2 linked regions of the Lonchura striata genome follow. The main gene of each other region encodes a partner of the protein of the gene in region 2 in a complex. Links are inferred from orthologs where the notes say so. Each region holds a gene or a part of one and is shown on either strand. Other genes may lie near its edges. The genes, in order: PDK3 and DLAT.

Evidence for each region.
Region 1: the proteins of DLAT (region 2) and PDK3 are in contact, whole or in part, in a crystal structure (PDB 1Y8N), measured with the Homo sapiens proteins. The link is inferred for Lonchura striata from reciprocal best matches to the Homo sapiens genes DLAT and PDK3. Residues at the interface, in NP_001922.2 of Homo sapiens: Ala225, Leu226, Ser227, Pro228, Thr229, Glu248, Gly249, Lys259, Ala260, Ile262, Glu265; in NP_005382.1 of Homo sapiens: Arg21, Phe22, Ser23, Pro24, Ser25, Pro26, Leu27, Phe48, Lys51, Val55, Asn373, Lys374, Ser375, Arg378.

Annotation. Positions count from the first base shown.
Region 1 is NC_134604.1:103,971,049-103,978,819, forward strand, and holds the start of PDK3 (pyruvate dehydrogenase kinase, isozyme 3), read left to right. Parts: upstream 1-4,712; 5' UTR 4,713-4,768; coding exon 4,769-4,874; intron 4,875-7,771. UniProt on the Homo sapiens protein: Inhibits pyruvate dehydrogenase activity by phosphorylation of the E1 subunit PDHA1, and thereby regulates glucose metabolism and aerobic respiration. Can also phosphorylate PDHA2.
Region 2 is NC_134625.1:9,522,408-9,530,043, reverse strand, and holds the start of DLAT (dihydrolipoyllysine-residue acetyltransferase component of pyruvate dehydrogenase complex, mitochondrial), read right to left. Parts: upstream 3,047-7,636; coding exon 2,834-3,046; intron 1,465-2,833; coding exon 1,363-1,464; intron 1,110-1,362; coding exon 985-1,109; intron 869-984; coding exon 712-868; intron 1-711. Other genes in the region: DIXDC1 (dixin), read right to left, coding at 7,370-7,450.

The sequences.
Region 1 (7,771 bases), on a different chromosome or scaffold from region 2:
CTTTAAGAAAAAGGGGTTATATTAACTTCAATATAGGTTTATTTTTTTTGTAAAAAAAAAAAAAAATTAAAACCCCCAACGTATTCCACAATGTCAGTGTGTCTAAAAACACTAATAACCATGTTTTCTTGGTTTACAGTTTAGGATTACTTTTCCCCTCCTCTGACATCCATACAAAGAAGTCCATTATGCTTAATCCCCTGCAGCTAGTTTATAGACCTACTATGTATTCTGCAGTGAAATAAAACAAGCTTTGTTAAGAAGATTATGGCTCTGGTCTGAAATTTTCACTGTGAATATATGTTCCTTGGGTGAAATATTACATGCAAAAGCTTTGATCCCTGAAAACAAGTGTGTGTAATATAAAGGTCCAGAAAGAATGAGATCTGAAAATGTAACAAAAATGCATCTTTTAAAACCTCCATACCAAGTTTGCCTACAAATTTCTGTAGGAGTGAATTTCTAATTTTAACTTTTAAGCACTCTCTTAGCACTTTAAGGGCTAAGAAAACTAAAACTTAGGGAGATTTTTATTTTCTGGTAACTTAATTTTCTCGTTACTAGACATAGAAGGGTCTCTTATTTATCTCCCGGCTCCACTGAATTAACATATAAAGACAAGTCCCATAGAAGGAATAGCAAAAGCTCTCCCATGTACACTCTGTCATTAAGGTACACAGTCCCTCCCTCCCATCAGAGCTAAAACACAAACCTAGGGGAGGCCAATTTTTAAGTACTGTCTCTAAATCCAGTGGTCAACAGTCAGTGCTAGAAATTTCTGAGGGTAGGAAACACAAAAGCTTTGCTTTTGCAAATATTCTCTACATCAGTTTCTCTGTTTTAGGGAGTCACTCTGCAGCTAATCCTGATATTGCTGCTTTTCCCTCTCAAAGTTTTTGTGAGTTAGAAGCAGTGATTTTATACCACCTCCAACACAGAAAACCAACAAAAATTATTAAGGCAAGATTGTTTATTCATATTTAATTATCCATCTCCTTTGCCACAGTGATGGCCCAACAAGAACTGATTCCATGATGTGTCTGGGGCTCCTGGGATCAAGCCAGGGGCCGTGGGGCTGGGTAGTGCTCCCTAAGCCAGGACACCACAGGCATTTTGTCCTCGGTGCAGGGTTCTGGCAAGTGTCCATACCAAGACCCTAATTCCCTTACAGGTGCTGTGGTTTCCAGTTGCCTGTATGCTCACAGATTTTAATTGAACAAGTGACTAAGTTGTTCTGGATACTAAATGGCCATGTAAACGTGAGTCATCTTTGACCCCTTGGTTAATTCCAGTTGTTCCATATTTGAAACTAACTGGAAAATATGAAAACAATACTCTCAGTAAAAGAGAGATGATAAAAACACCAGAGAAATTCAGCAGTGTTAGGTGTTATCAACGTTAAAATCAAATTTTCTTAAGGAGTAAATAATTTCTTTCCTGTATGCCTGTAGAAGTTTATTAACATTTAATCAAAGATGCAGGGCGGCTCTCACAGAGTTCAGGAAGCTTTTCTGCACCAGATATGTTCTGAAATACATAAAGAAGGCAGGTATGAGGTATGAGAAATTCAATCGGTCCAAAAAGCAAAACTCAGCTTCTATAATTTAATCCTATGGATCCCAGTGATATTTTGTACTTTGCACGGGTTATGCCACTAACTTCTCTTCATTTAGGTAGATTGTTTAAGAACTAGGTTTATGTGTATTCTTGCTGCTTCTTGCATTGGTAAAACCATAGCCTTTCCCATGTGCATTTTATGTTCTCTCAAGCAAGTCCTGCAGTCTTCTTAAGCACAAGGCCACAAAGAGCTGCTGGGTGGGTCTGGGATTTGAATGTCTCTACAGTGTGTTTCCAACAGTTTTTGGAGAATTCGAGTTGTTGGTTTTGTCATCAATTTCTCCAGAGCTGAGAGAAGCTACTGGGAGTCTGATAAGAAGAGCACACCTCTGTTTCGCAGTGACTTTGTGCGTGTCCTCATTGTGGCTTTAGTCTGTATCACCATAGACAAAAACAATTCCAATTTTTCACATGGGTTGGCTAATATAAGATTAAGAAATTAAAAAAAAAAAATGATGCTGTGATGCTTTATATTGCAAAAATGATTTTGTGTTTAGAAAGACAACTCAATAGTTAACTGTTGTCTTGCCACTTTTTGAAGCTGAAATCACACTAGAATTACTTTAAAATGTGAAAGATACATAAAATCAAGTGGTTTAAATGTTGATAATTAATCATAATTTGAAGCTGCTAATTTCATCTTAATTTGGGAAATGTTGTTCTGTCTTTAACAAAAAAAGACAGTTTTCTGCCAGATAATTCCACAACTGATTTCAGTTATGCTCTAAATGAATCACAATCAAATCCTGATGAGTATATATAACAAAAGTTTTAAAACACTTTTCCCACCTGCCAAAAAAGCTTCAGAATTACAGTAGATGATTCATTTTGTCAGTCTTGATTACGTGACATGCTTCTTCAAGCCAGTCATTCCTATAAGCTGCAACTGAAGTGATTTTAAAATGCTTTCCAGTTATTTGTACATTAGGTGAGGATTTCTCAGTCTCTAATTCAGTGAGGACAATCATGACAGAAAGGATGGAGAGAGACTTCCAATAATTGAAGAGTACTGGGTTTTTTTGCAAGTCAGTTATAAAATTAGAGTAATACTATCTTGTACCTGCTAAAACTTGCATTTAATTCACTGGAGAAAAATAAGGAACTGGTCACCAGTTATTTGCCTTAAATGTACCTAAACCACATCATAGCAAAAACCAATCAGTGACTGCATTCAGTGATACATTTTGATACTACAATACCTTGCTTCACTTTTGATTCTAGACATCAAAATTAATTTTAATTGTGTTCAGATGCTTTCTCAGATAAAAATGGGAAATTTTCAGAAAATTTCAACTATTGTAACATGTAGTGAACTTAGTTCTACCAGCCTCACACCCGCTGTACAACCCAGTGGATACCTGAGGGCTGTATTTTGGCTGGAAGCAAGCACCCTGTTATGGACCAGGTGAGACATATGAACTGGTCCATACAAAACCTGAAGAGAGGCTGTAGCCAGGTGGGTTTGGGCTCTTCTCCCAGGCAACCAGCTACAGGCCATGAGGACATAGTCTTAAACTGCCAGGGGAGGGTTAGGTTGGACATCAGGAGGAATTTCTTCACAGACAGGGTGATTAGATAATAGAGTAGACTGCCAAGGTGTTGCAAGATGTGGAATATGTAAAATTTGCTCAAGAAAATATGTTCTTTGATGTTTGAGCTTTGTATATGTTCAAGCTTAATCAAGAAGCAGATTTAATCTGTGAAACAGATAGCAGCTAGCAAGCAAGCTCTAAGTGATGTCCAGCTGTCAGAAAAACAACTTGTTGGTAGAATTGCCTTGTTAAGGTTAGGGCTTGACATGATGTGATGATCTCGGATGTAGAGGGAGGTTAACAGTCCTTGGGGAGGAGGATGCCCACTGATAGTGGACACAAAGAACGCAGAATTCACGGGCCACAAGGACATCTGGCAGAACTCTCAACATTAAGAAGAAACCAATAAAGCTAACTCAGTAATTGTGCTGAAGTCAGCTCCAGCTGGGTAAAAGGTGGTTCTGGCAGGGGGAGACTGGGACCGCCGACTCCTGGCCCAGGAAAGCCCTGCACCAGAAGAGAGGTCTAATTAACATGGCAGGTGGGAGAATCATTGACCAATAAAAGAATACTGATTAATAAGAGAGCTATGTAACTTGTAGCCAATGACAACCTAATCTTTTGTTTGCTAAAATCTATAATTAGCAAAAAGTTTTGATAGTTGGCGTGCTTGACTCATAGAATATCACTGAGCACTCTAGCTTGCCCAACCCTGAAACAAAACATCTCTTTCTCGAGTATTATTACTGGCTTTTCACACAGCAGGTCATGAAACCGATTTTTGTGGACAACACGGTGGCGGAGCGACCGTCCTTGGAGGAAAGAGAGGGAGGAAAGAGCGGACGTGCCGCTCAGCGCCATGGCGTAGCTGGCACGGCGGTGTTGGGTCGCAGGCTGGGCTCGGTGATCCCAGGGGTTTTTCCAGCCTGGCCGAGGGCAGCGCCGGTGCCCCCGGGGCGGGCTCAGACAGCCGGCGGTGCCCCCGGGGCGGGCTCAGACACCCGGCGGTGCCCCCGGGCCGGGCTCAGACACCCCGCGCTCCCGCCCCCGGGGCGGGCTCAGACACCCGGCGGTGCCCCCGGGGCGAGCTCAGACACCGGGCGGTGCCCCCGGGTCGGGCTCAGACACCCGGCGGTGCCCCCGGGGCGAGCTCAGACACCCGGCGGTGCCCCCGGGGCGAGCTCAGACACCCCGCGCTCCCGCCCCCGGGGCGAGCTCAGACACGCCGCGCTCCCGCCCCCGCGGCCGCGCTCCCGCCCCCGCGGCCGCGCTCCCGCCCCCGCGGCCGCGCTCCCGCCCCCGCGGCCGCGCTCCCGCCCCCGCGGCCGCGCTCCCGCCCCCGCGGCCGCGCTCCCGCCCCCGCGGCCGCGCTCCCGCCCCCGCGGCCGCGCTCCCGCCCCCGCGGCCGCGCTCCCGCCCCCGCGGCCGCGCTCCCGCCCCCGCGGCCGCGCTCCCGCCCCGCCCCCGCGCGCAGCGTGCGCGTGCGCGGAGCGGGCTCGGCGCTCGCCCCTCCCGCCGGGCCGGGCCGGGCCGCGGAGCGCGACGGGCGGCGCGGAGCGGCCGCGCCCGGGCAGGAGCCGCCGGCGGCGGGAGCGCAGCGGAGCCGGGCGGGCCGCGCCATGCGGCTGTGCGGGGCGCTGCTCAAGAGCCCCGTCCCCAAGCAGATCGAGTACTACTCGCGCTTCTCCCCCTCGCCCCTCTCCATCAAGCAGTTCCTCGACTTCGGTGAGTGCGGGGCCGCGGGGTGAGGGCGTGCGGGGGTCGCCGCGGCTCTCCCGGGCAGCGGCGGTGGCGGCCGGCGCGCAGGCCCCGCTCCTCGGCCCGGCTCCTCGGCCCGGCTCCTCGGCCCCGCTCCTCGGCCCCGCTCCTCGGCCCCGCTCCTCGGCCGCATCGGGAGCGCGGCCCGGCCCGGCCCGGCCCGGCCCGGGGCCCCGCAGGGCCCGCGCGGACAGCCCCGGGCCCGGGCGCGGTGTCGGCACCGGCGGACAGCCGCTGCTCGCCTCGCCGAGGGGCCGGAGCGGCGGGCTGGCTCCTCCTTCCTGCGTTATCCCTGACACGGGTACCATTGGGATGGGGGTCAGCATAAGGGTTCCTGACCTGATGTTTTGTGAGCTTAGCGAGTGAAGGAGAGAGTAAAGTAATGGTCTTGAGCGTGAACATTTGCATCTGCCGTGCTGAGATCGGCTTACTTAATGCTCGGACGTGAACTCTTAACCTCACGTGTATAGGAGACCTGTTTGTGTAAAATTCATGAGCACTTCAGGAAATGTTGCTGATGATAAATAGCATTTTTCTTTTCAGAAGCCCTGGAATGAAATCCAGGAGTGGCTTGTGTTGTTAAAAAACATGCTTCCATCTAGATAATGATAAACTCATTTCTGTATCGGAAGTTATTTGACTCTTGCTCTCTGACACGAGAATTGTTGAGATTTTATTAACCTATAAATATTGCTGGTAAAGTGAATAAAAAGGCCATGTGTAACGTCATGAAGCTTAACACAGAGTGTTTCTTCATTACACTCTTACAGTAAGGGACAAACATGAGCCAGTGTTCAGCCAGAAAGTGATTAAAAGTGAATACAATTGCACAATTATGGTAATGGTATTAGTGAAAGAATGCTGTAAGTACAGAAAGCCAGTAATGGGCTTGATAGATGTCTCAGTGAAACAGGATTTTGTACTGTTAAAAAACCCAACAAAACCCCCTGTCTCCACTTAAAGGAGAACCTGAGTAGAAGTTGTGCTTTCTTTCTCTGCTCTCCGTTCACCTGAGTTTGTTACCTCTTCCCCACCCCTTCCTGTGCTGCTGGGCTTCTTCTCTAGCATTGGTGCTTCTTATGCTGTGTCTTTCTGTACTGACAAGAACAACGGCCTAAATCTTAGAACATCTTTATTTTAGCCCTGGCACTAAACAAATTGTGTCACTGTAGCTTATTTGAAAGTTGGGTTTCTGAATTGTTGCTGGGGAAGTATTAGTGTTTGTGAGCCTTTTCAGTTGTGACTAGAGGTGTAAAGATTTCAAGATTTGCTTTAAAGCCTTGGATGTTCGGACAAAACTTTGCTTTTTGGTAAGTATTTCTACAGTTCTATGTTGCCCAGCGTTACTGTTTGCCTTTGGACATCTCTTCTGTGGCAGCTTTTTCATTATGCACTTGTTTTAACATTGTAGTGCCTGTATTACTTTATGGTCTTGTGATTCTTCAGAAGAAGTAGTTTTCTTTTACAACTTTAAGTCTGGCTTCTTTTACTGGAAATGAACAGAGCAAGAACAGGAAGTTACAGCCTGGCCAGCCTTATTCTTTAGATATGCTCCAGTTCTCACTGGATGTGTCATTGGAATCTTCTGTATGTGTGGCCATGTATTTAAGGGTCTTCATGTCTTAAGACTGATGGGAAGCTATGTAGTCACTGACATTTAAAACCTCTGAAGAAAAAAAAGTCTATGGTTTAGTCTTGAAAGGTTGCCAGGAGTTTCTAAAATTAGTAGGTCTATGTTATATCAACCTTGCTAAACCTATCACCTTAATCTTAATAAGTTTTATGGGCCACTTAACATCTTCACTTACTTACTCTTTAATGCTTGTATTTATTTGGGAAAACTCAAGTAGGAAGATTACAGCAGTTTAAGGAAATAAATGGAACCCAGTGTAGTTACTTAACTTACGTGATCCTAATTGTTTACAGCTTTGGGTAATTTCAAGTTCAGCTGGAGTCTTCATAGGCCTAAAGGAAAATGTGAGTGATAGTGCAAAAGTTTTCCCACTTGAGGTGTGGAAGGCCTGAACAATATGCACCATGTCAGGGAACTGTGTTGCTTATGTATTGAGTTAGCCAAAAAAGAATTTGCTGGTGTCACAGGACACAAGTATTCAAGAGACAAAATATGCCAAGCATAAGGAGCACAATACTCAAGGTGCAGTTCAGTGGTGCTTGTTTATTTGTAAGAATGTTTGATGGGAAGAAGACACTGTTTTGTGGTCAGCTTATAGAGGCTATTTGGTGTCTCACTTCAAATAAATGGTCTTTTTAATTGAGCTACATGAATGTAGTGCTAGTTTTACAAAAACGTGGCTGAATTTTCAACAAATGCTGAAGAAGAGTAAGCCCAAAGGATATGTGTGAATAACCCTATAATGGTTGTCTGATTTTGTTGTCTGATGCACATTTCTCATACAGAATTTACACGTACTGCGATTTGGATTTGTGTGAAGAAAGTTTTTCAACTTGATTTCTGATGATGGTGAAACTACAATGTGTTCTTTATGTCCATTTTATATTGGCTGTATTGGTTTAGAGTGAGTTGACTTACAGAACTGTAAAATTCTGGTGAGCCAGGGGAGAGAAACTGTATTTCCTATGAGCTGAAGAGTCTCTTCAAAGATAGTTGGCAGCAATGTGTATTGAAGTGCAGCTTGGGCTTTTTTAAATTACTGACTACCAGTGTGGGTTGTATGGAACACAGTTGTGTGCATAGCGAGGCTGTAGAGTCTCTATTTCTTTCCAGTCATATAAATTAATGACATTTGTTTTAAAACTTTCTCTGCTTCATTCAGCTATTTAAACCACTATAAGAGACAGTTTGTTTAAAGTAGCTTGCTAGTACTAAAAACCTGTGAGGCAAA
Region 2 (7,636 bases):
CTGCAGCAAATCACTTTGTCACTGTGACACACACACCAGGAGCAAAACTGGGCAGTGGGGGCAAGCAGAGGGAAGAAAGCAACTTTAGTAGCCAAAACACAAATTTAGAAGCCATTCATTAATTCTTTTATTACTGACTTTGAGTAACATCTCAGACAAATCAGTTCCCACATGCTTCATCTGTGGGATGGGGTTCAATATTCCAGAGTTTCTTTTTCAAAGGGGTGTCAAAGCAACCCCCTGTATACAAAGAGCTCAAATCCATCAGTGGATACACTTCAAAACCTAAGCAGAGCAAAAAGGTTATACCCACAAACACAGTTCATTATTAGTCACCCACAGACACATCTGGTGTGGTCACCAGAGCACCAGGGACTGGAGCTCTGCTCTATGAGCAGAGCTTATTCACACTAAGCACGAAGACTTTTTATACCACAACTGTCCAAATAATGCAGTTTTGGCACATTTTTCAAGACAACAACCCTGGAGGGACAAGCCTCTCCTCCACCAGCAGCTGGGATGCTGAAATGAATTTATTAAAAAAGCTTTCTGGGATGTCCCCCGACATCTGCTTTAAGAACACAACTGAGGTGGCACAGTTAATAAATTCCCATTCCAGACAGTTTTTATGGCAAAATGCCCCACAGGTAGCAATGCCAGGGGCAGAAAAAGCATGCAAGAAGCCTTAAAGCAGGAGCAGTGCTCTCTTACCTGCATGTGAGGAGGGTAAGAGCTGCCAGGGGCCTGAGGAGAAGGCTGAGGTGGTGGGGAGGGGGCTGCAGCTGGAGGGGGAGGCACTGAGGCTGCGGGGGCAGCAGCTGCTGCAGAATCCAGGGTGTAATTTTTGAAGGCATCAATATGTTCAGGCCTAGAAGAACACACAGAGCCCCAAAGCCCATCAGGTGATGGCCTCAGTCTCTCACTCAAGGCACTCCAGAAGCCCCAGGAGGGAAAATTCACATCGAGGGTCAGGAAAATACATACTTTTCTACTGTGATGCATATTATAGCCCCAATAGGAACATCCCTTGTTCCTTCAGGCACCAGGATCTTGGCCAGGTAACATTCCTCCAGGCTCTCAAAGCCAACTGTAGCTTTGTCTGTCTCCACCTTTGAGAGAGAAGAGGAAATGGTGAGCCCAGAGCTTCCCAGTTTGCTGCAGGGTCACAGCTCTGGAAAAATCACCCTGAGGCAGCAGCTCTAGGGAAGTTTGCCCCCAAACCAGCTCTGAGAGGCTGACAGCCACTCCTTCCCACCAGCATCCCTTGGGATCTGGGATCCAAAATCTGTCTTCAGCCGGGGACAGCCCCCAGGCCACACGTGCAGCTCAAGAGAGACCAGCCCAGCCCCATCCCCAGGATACCTCTGCTATGAGATCCCCTTCATTGATCTTGTCCCCCTCCTTCTTCTCCCAGCGTGAGATGGTGCCCATCTGCATCGTGGGGGACAGCGCTGGCAGGGTCACCTGTGAGGGACAGCACAGTGTCACAGCCCAGACAGATCCAGCAGCAGGAAGCACACACGGGACAGAGACAAATCCTCAGCTCAGCGTGGGATGTGGGGCACAGATCTGCTGCAAATCCCCAGCACTGTCCCACGCTGCTGGTGAAGAACCCTGGCAAACTCACACTGGGTGCTGAGGGCAGAGGCTGTGCTTGCCCCATCCCTGGAAGTGTTCAAGGTCAGCCTGGGTGGGGCTTGGAACAACGTGGGAGGGTGGAAGGTGTCCCTGCACATGGCTTTAAGGTCCATTCCAACCCCTTAACACTCTGTAATTTCAACCAGGAAAAGGTTACAGCACACCAGGGCTGGGCCTGGGTCTGCTAAGAACCAACAGCAGTGCTGGGATAAAGGATAAAGCCACCCAGGGGCTTGAGCCTAAGTGGTGCCAAAGACACAAAAATCACTGATTTTCTCCCAGTTTGGGTAGCCAGGCGTTGGAATAGGTTTTACCCACGGAGCCCATCCCCGGGGCGGGCGGGTAGGGGGCTGGCTTGATTATCCTACAGGAATTCTCCAGCCGATGATTTCAATCCCCGGGGCAAACTGAGCCGCACGGGGAGGGGACTGAAAACGCGGAGGGGGAGAGAGAAGGGGCAGGGATGAGAAAGAGAAAATGCAGGATGGGGGGAAGAGAAAGGGCAAGGAGGGGGGAAGAGAAAGGGCAGGATGGGGGGAAGAAATGGGCAGGACTGGGGAAAGAGAAGGGGCAGGGAGAGGGAAAGCAAGGGGCAGGGATGGGGAAAGGGGCAGGATTGGGGAAAGGGGCAGGATTGGGGAAAGGGGCAGGATTGGGGAAAGGGGCAGGGAGGGGGAAAGAAGGGGCAGGACTGAGGAGAAGCAAGGGGCAGGATTGGGGAAAGAGAAGGGGCAGGATTGGGGAAAGAGAAGGGGCAGGATTGGGGAAAGAGAAGGGGGAGGATTGGGGAAAGAGAAGGGGGAGGATTGGGGAAAGAGAAGGGGGAGGATTGGGGAAAGAGAAGGGGGAGGACTGGGGAAAGCAAGGGGGAGGATTGGGGAAAGCAAGGGGGAGGATCGGGGAAAGCAAGGGGCAGGATCGGGGAAAGCAAGGGGAAGGATTGGGGAAAGAAGGGGAAGGGAGGGGGAAAGAAGGGGCAGGACTGGGGAAGCAAGGGGGGTTGGGGAAAGCAAGGGGGAGGACTGGGGGAAGCAAGGGGCAGGATTGGGGAAATCAAGGGGGAGGATTGGGGAAAGCAAGGGGCAGGATTGGGGAAAGCAAGGGGGAGTTTTGGGGAAAGCAAGGGGGAGGCCTGGGGGAAGAAGGGGCAGCGGGGGGCACGGGGGCCAGCCCGGGGCCCGGGGGTGACCCTCACCTTCTGGTGCGCCGGGAGGCTGCAGCAGCGGCGCGGGACGAGCCGGGGCCAGGCGGGCGGCGGCAGCAGCGGGCGAGGCGCGGGGCCGCCCCAGACCGGGCCGTGCCGGGCCGGGCCGGCCCCGACCCCGGCCCCGAGCGCTCGGCGGGGCCGCACCGGGCCGGGCGGCCGGGCCGCGCCCCGGGACACGCGTCGCGCCAACACCCGCCACATGCTGGGGCCGGGCTGCAGCGGGCTGGGCCGGGCGGACCGGGCCGGCGGCGCTCGGTGACCTCCGCGCGGGCGGCGAGCGCGACACTGGGGCGGCCGTAAAGCGGCGGAGGGCGGCGGCCAGCGCGCCTCAGGCACCGCCCCGCGCCCCGGCACCGCCTCAGGCACTGCCCCGGCACCGCCCCGGCACCGGCACCGCCCCGGCACCGCCTCAGGCACCGCCCCGGCACTGCCCCGGCACCGCCTCAGGCACCGCCCCGGCACCGGCACCGCCCCGGCACCGCCCCGGCACCGCCCCGGCACCGCCCCGGCACCGCCCCGCGCCCCGGCACCGGCACCGCCCCGGCACCGCCTCAGGCACCGCCCCGGCACCGCCCCGGCACCGCCCCGCGCCCCGGCACCGCCCCGGCACCGGCACCGGCACCGCCTCAGGCACCGCCCCGGCACCGCCTCAGGCACCGCCCCGGCACCGCCCCGCGCCCCGGCACCGGCACCGCCCCGGCACCGCCTCAGGCACCGCCCCGGCACCGCCCCGGCACCGCCTCAGGCACCGCCCCGGCACCGGCACCGCCCCGGCACCGGCACCGGCACCGCCTCAGGCACCGCCCCGGCACCGCCTCAGGCACCGCCCCGGCACCGGCCCGCGCCCCGGCACCGGCCCGGCACCGCCCCGGCACCGCCCCGCGCCCCGGCACCGCCCCGGCACCGGCACCGCCTCAGGCACCGCCCCAGCACCGCCCCGGCACCGCCCCGGCACCGGCACCGCCCCGGCACCGCCCCGGCACCGCCCCGGCACCGCCCCGGCACCGCCCCGGCACCGGCCCGGCACTGCCCCGTCACCGCCTCAGGCACCGGCACCGCCTCAGCCCGCCCGGCCCGGCGGGAGGGCAGCCGGCAGCGGGGCTCCGAGCGGGGGACCGGGCACCGGGGGGTTCTGAACGGGGAGACCGGGCATGGAAACCGGGCACCGGGGGGTTCTGAATGGAGAAACCGGGCACCGGGGGGTTCTGAACGGGGAAACCGGCTTGGAAACCGGGCACCGGGGGGTTCTGAATGGAGAAACCGGCATGGAAACCGGGCACCGCGGGGTTCTGAACGGGGAGACCGGGCACCGGGGGGTTCTGAATGGAGAAACCGGGCACCGGGGGGTTCTGAACGGGGAGACCGGGCATGAAAACCGGGCATCGGGGGCTCCAAGCGGGGGGACCGGCTTGGAAACCGGGCACCGGGGGCTGTGCACAGGACCGGGCACCTCGGGGTCTGCACAGCTTCCCACCAGGAAAACCGGGCACCGGGAGCAGTGCATAGGGAAAACCGGCAGGAAAACCGGGCACCGGGGGGTTCTGAATGGAGAAACCGGGCATGAAAACCGGGCACCGGGGGCTGTGCACAGGACCGGGCACCTCGGGGTCTGCACAGCTCCCCACCAGGAAAACCGGGCACCGGGAGCAGTGCATAGGGAAAACCGGCAGGAAAACCGGGCACTGGGGGTCTGTACAGGGAAAACTGGCATGGAAACCAGGTACCTGGGTGTTTGCACAAGGAAAACCGGGCACCGGGGGTCTGTACAGGGAAAACTGGGCACCTTAGGCCTCTGCACAGCTCCCCGGCAGGAAAACCAGGAAAACCGGGCACCGGTGGGTTCTGCTCAGGGAAAACCGGGCACCTCAGGGCTCTGTGCAGGGAAAAGCGGCAGGAAAACTCGCTGGCAGGAAAAGCTGGGCACCTCGGGGTCTGCATGGGGAAAACTGGGCACCTGGGGGTCTTTACAAGGAAAACCGGGCACCTTAGAGCTCTGTGCAGGGAAACCGGGCATTTTAGGGATCTGCACAGGGAAAACCGGGCACCTGGGGCTCTGTACAAGGAAAACCGGGCACCTGGGGCTCTGTACAAGGAAAACCGGGCACCTCGGGTTCTGCACAGGGAAAACCGGGCACCTCGGGCTCTGTACAAGGAAAACCGGGCACCTCGGGCTCTGTACAAGGAGAACCGGGCACCTCTGGCTCTGTACAAGGAAAACCGGGCACCTGGGGCTCTGTACAAGGAGAACTGGGCACCTCGGGCTCTGTACAAGGAGAACCGGGCACCTGGGACTCTGTACAAGGAGAACCGGGCACCTCGGGTTCTGCACAAGGAGAACCGGGCACCTCGGGCTCTGCAGGCTCCCCAGCAGCAGGGGACAGCCAGGCTCAGCTCTGCTCCCCGGGAACGGGCAGAACACATAAATGCACCCAAGGGTGTCGGGGATAGCTCCAGGCTCCGCTCAGTGCGGCAGGAGGAGCAGCAAACACCATTAACTTAAACATAGCAGGTTCCACCTCAGCCTAAGCAAAAAGGTCTTTCTGCAGAGGGTGGCTTTGTTGTGAGATGTGCTCTCACTGCCATATCCCAGCACTGCTTACACCCGGTTGATTTCTGCCCACCTTTCCTCAGAGTTACTTTCCCTTTCCTATGTTTGTTGATCTTGTAGCAAAATCTCCGGAGTCAAGAGCTGAAACTCATTTAAAAGTGACACTCTTTGCTTTTATGGGGGAGAAACCTCCCAAAGCAAACTGCTGCTCTGGATAGCAGAGAAGGACATGAAGCTGGCCAACACAGACCTGAAAAAAACTTCATAATTTGCTCCATGAAACTCCAGCCTGGGTGCAGGGCTGTTGCTGAAATAAAACCCACGAGTAAAACCCAAAGAATGAAACACTTGTGAGAAGTTTGCAATTGAAATACAATTGATCTCAGTATCACAAGCCCATGCCCTCTTCACTAGAAACCATGCAACAGAGAAACGAGGTCCAGGGGAGAAGGAATATCATTGTTTCTTTTCCAAAAGGGATGTATTTCCCCCCATTAATTAACCTGCTCATTGATTAACTTTCCTCCTGCTGTCTGAAAACAGAAAGTCACAGAAATTGTCCAGAACAGGAGGCAGTTTGTGTTGTGCCAATGTGGCACAAAACCACGTAGGAACCCTGATATAAAACCCAGTATCGACCAGTTGGATTTCCATAGTAAGATAAAATTACAAGGCCAATGTTGTGTCAACAGAAGATGATACAAAACATCTCAGCATCCACCAGGAAAGGAGTAAAACACAGTATAATGCGTGCAGAAATATACAGAGAGCACTTGCACTAGTATAAAAATATCCACAGTCCTCAGACAAATGTGAATCGGTACAAAATAATTTCAAGAACAGGTTTACAAAAGGACACGTTGATATAAAACAGTAAAACCAGGTTGCCCCCTCTCCCAGCCTCATGCACAGCACACACACACAGTCCATGGAAGGCCCACAGGAAGGAGCAGAGCCCATTTGACCTCCCAAGCCCACCGGCGATGTAGAAAAACAAAACCACAAAAAACCAAAGGGAAAAAATCCACCCTTGGGGGATTTTAGAGCAGTTCTTTCCCCAGCAGTTCTTTCCTGATCCTTCAGGACTAAGCTTAGCAAGGAACTGGTGTGGATAAGTGCTTGGTGGCCCTGGCAGTGGGGGGACAGCAGCAGAGGATGTCTGTGCACAGGAGGTGACAGCACAGAGGGCAGGAGCGCAGGGACAGAGGCTCAGCAAGGACAGGGGGTGTGAGGACCTCAGGAAGCAGCTGATTCCAGCTCCCCCACCCATGAAATCCTTCAGCAAACAAACAAGCACTGAGATCCCCCAGATCCCTTCAGTGACAAAGCCAGCCCTGAGGTCCTCAGGGATGGGAACAGCTTTGGAAAGTGGGGAAAGTGGGCTGGGAAAGAGGAGCCTGAGTTTGGGAGAAAAGGAGCTTGGCCAGGTTGGTGAGCTGTGCTTCAGGTCATGCATCAGCCCTCCAGAGGACTCTCCCCCCACCCAGAACAGGTCCTGTCAGCCTGCAATGTCCAGAGTCACTCTGCTCCTGCAGGACAACTTCCAGCTGGTCCAACTTCAGCTCTCACAATTCAGCTCTACTGCATGCAGGCAAAGCTTCACATTTTCACCATCAGTGCAGTTTTGTGTGACACCAGCACAGGAGATGCCCAGCTGAGCCTGCAGCACAAAGTGCAGGGATGGAAGAGAAGGGGGCAAAGCATCCTTAAGGCCTCCAGGGTTTTGCTGGCAGGGCCAAGCCGGGTGTTTCTGCCCCACAGACCAGTCCCTGCAGCCCCAGGACAGCAGCTGCCCTCGGGCACGGGCAGTCAGGTGCCAGCTGTCCATGCACACAGCCTGCACCACCCCTGGCTGGCACAGAGGCTCTTTTTTGGCAGCTCGAATTGGTCTCTTCCCAGCACTTGGGCTCCTTGGTCACTCTCCGAGCTCTGCAGACAGTCACAGGTTTCCATAGAAACAGAGCTTGAGAGCTCCATTAATTCTCCCCGTGGTCTTCTTCCACCCAGGCCACGATTTTCCCCTCCCAGCCAGGAATGATGTCATCATCATGGAACACCTACCATAAAAATAAACAAACAAACAAATAAATAAAGTGTTTCGGTCATGTCTGGGGTCTGGACACAGGGTTCTGCAGTGTGAGTGGCATCAGGGCCATGAAGTCAAATCCTAGCTCCGATTTCCCAAAATAATCCAGGGAACACATGGGAATGATGGCTGAGGTATGAGCCACATTTTCACAACA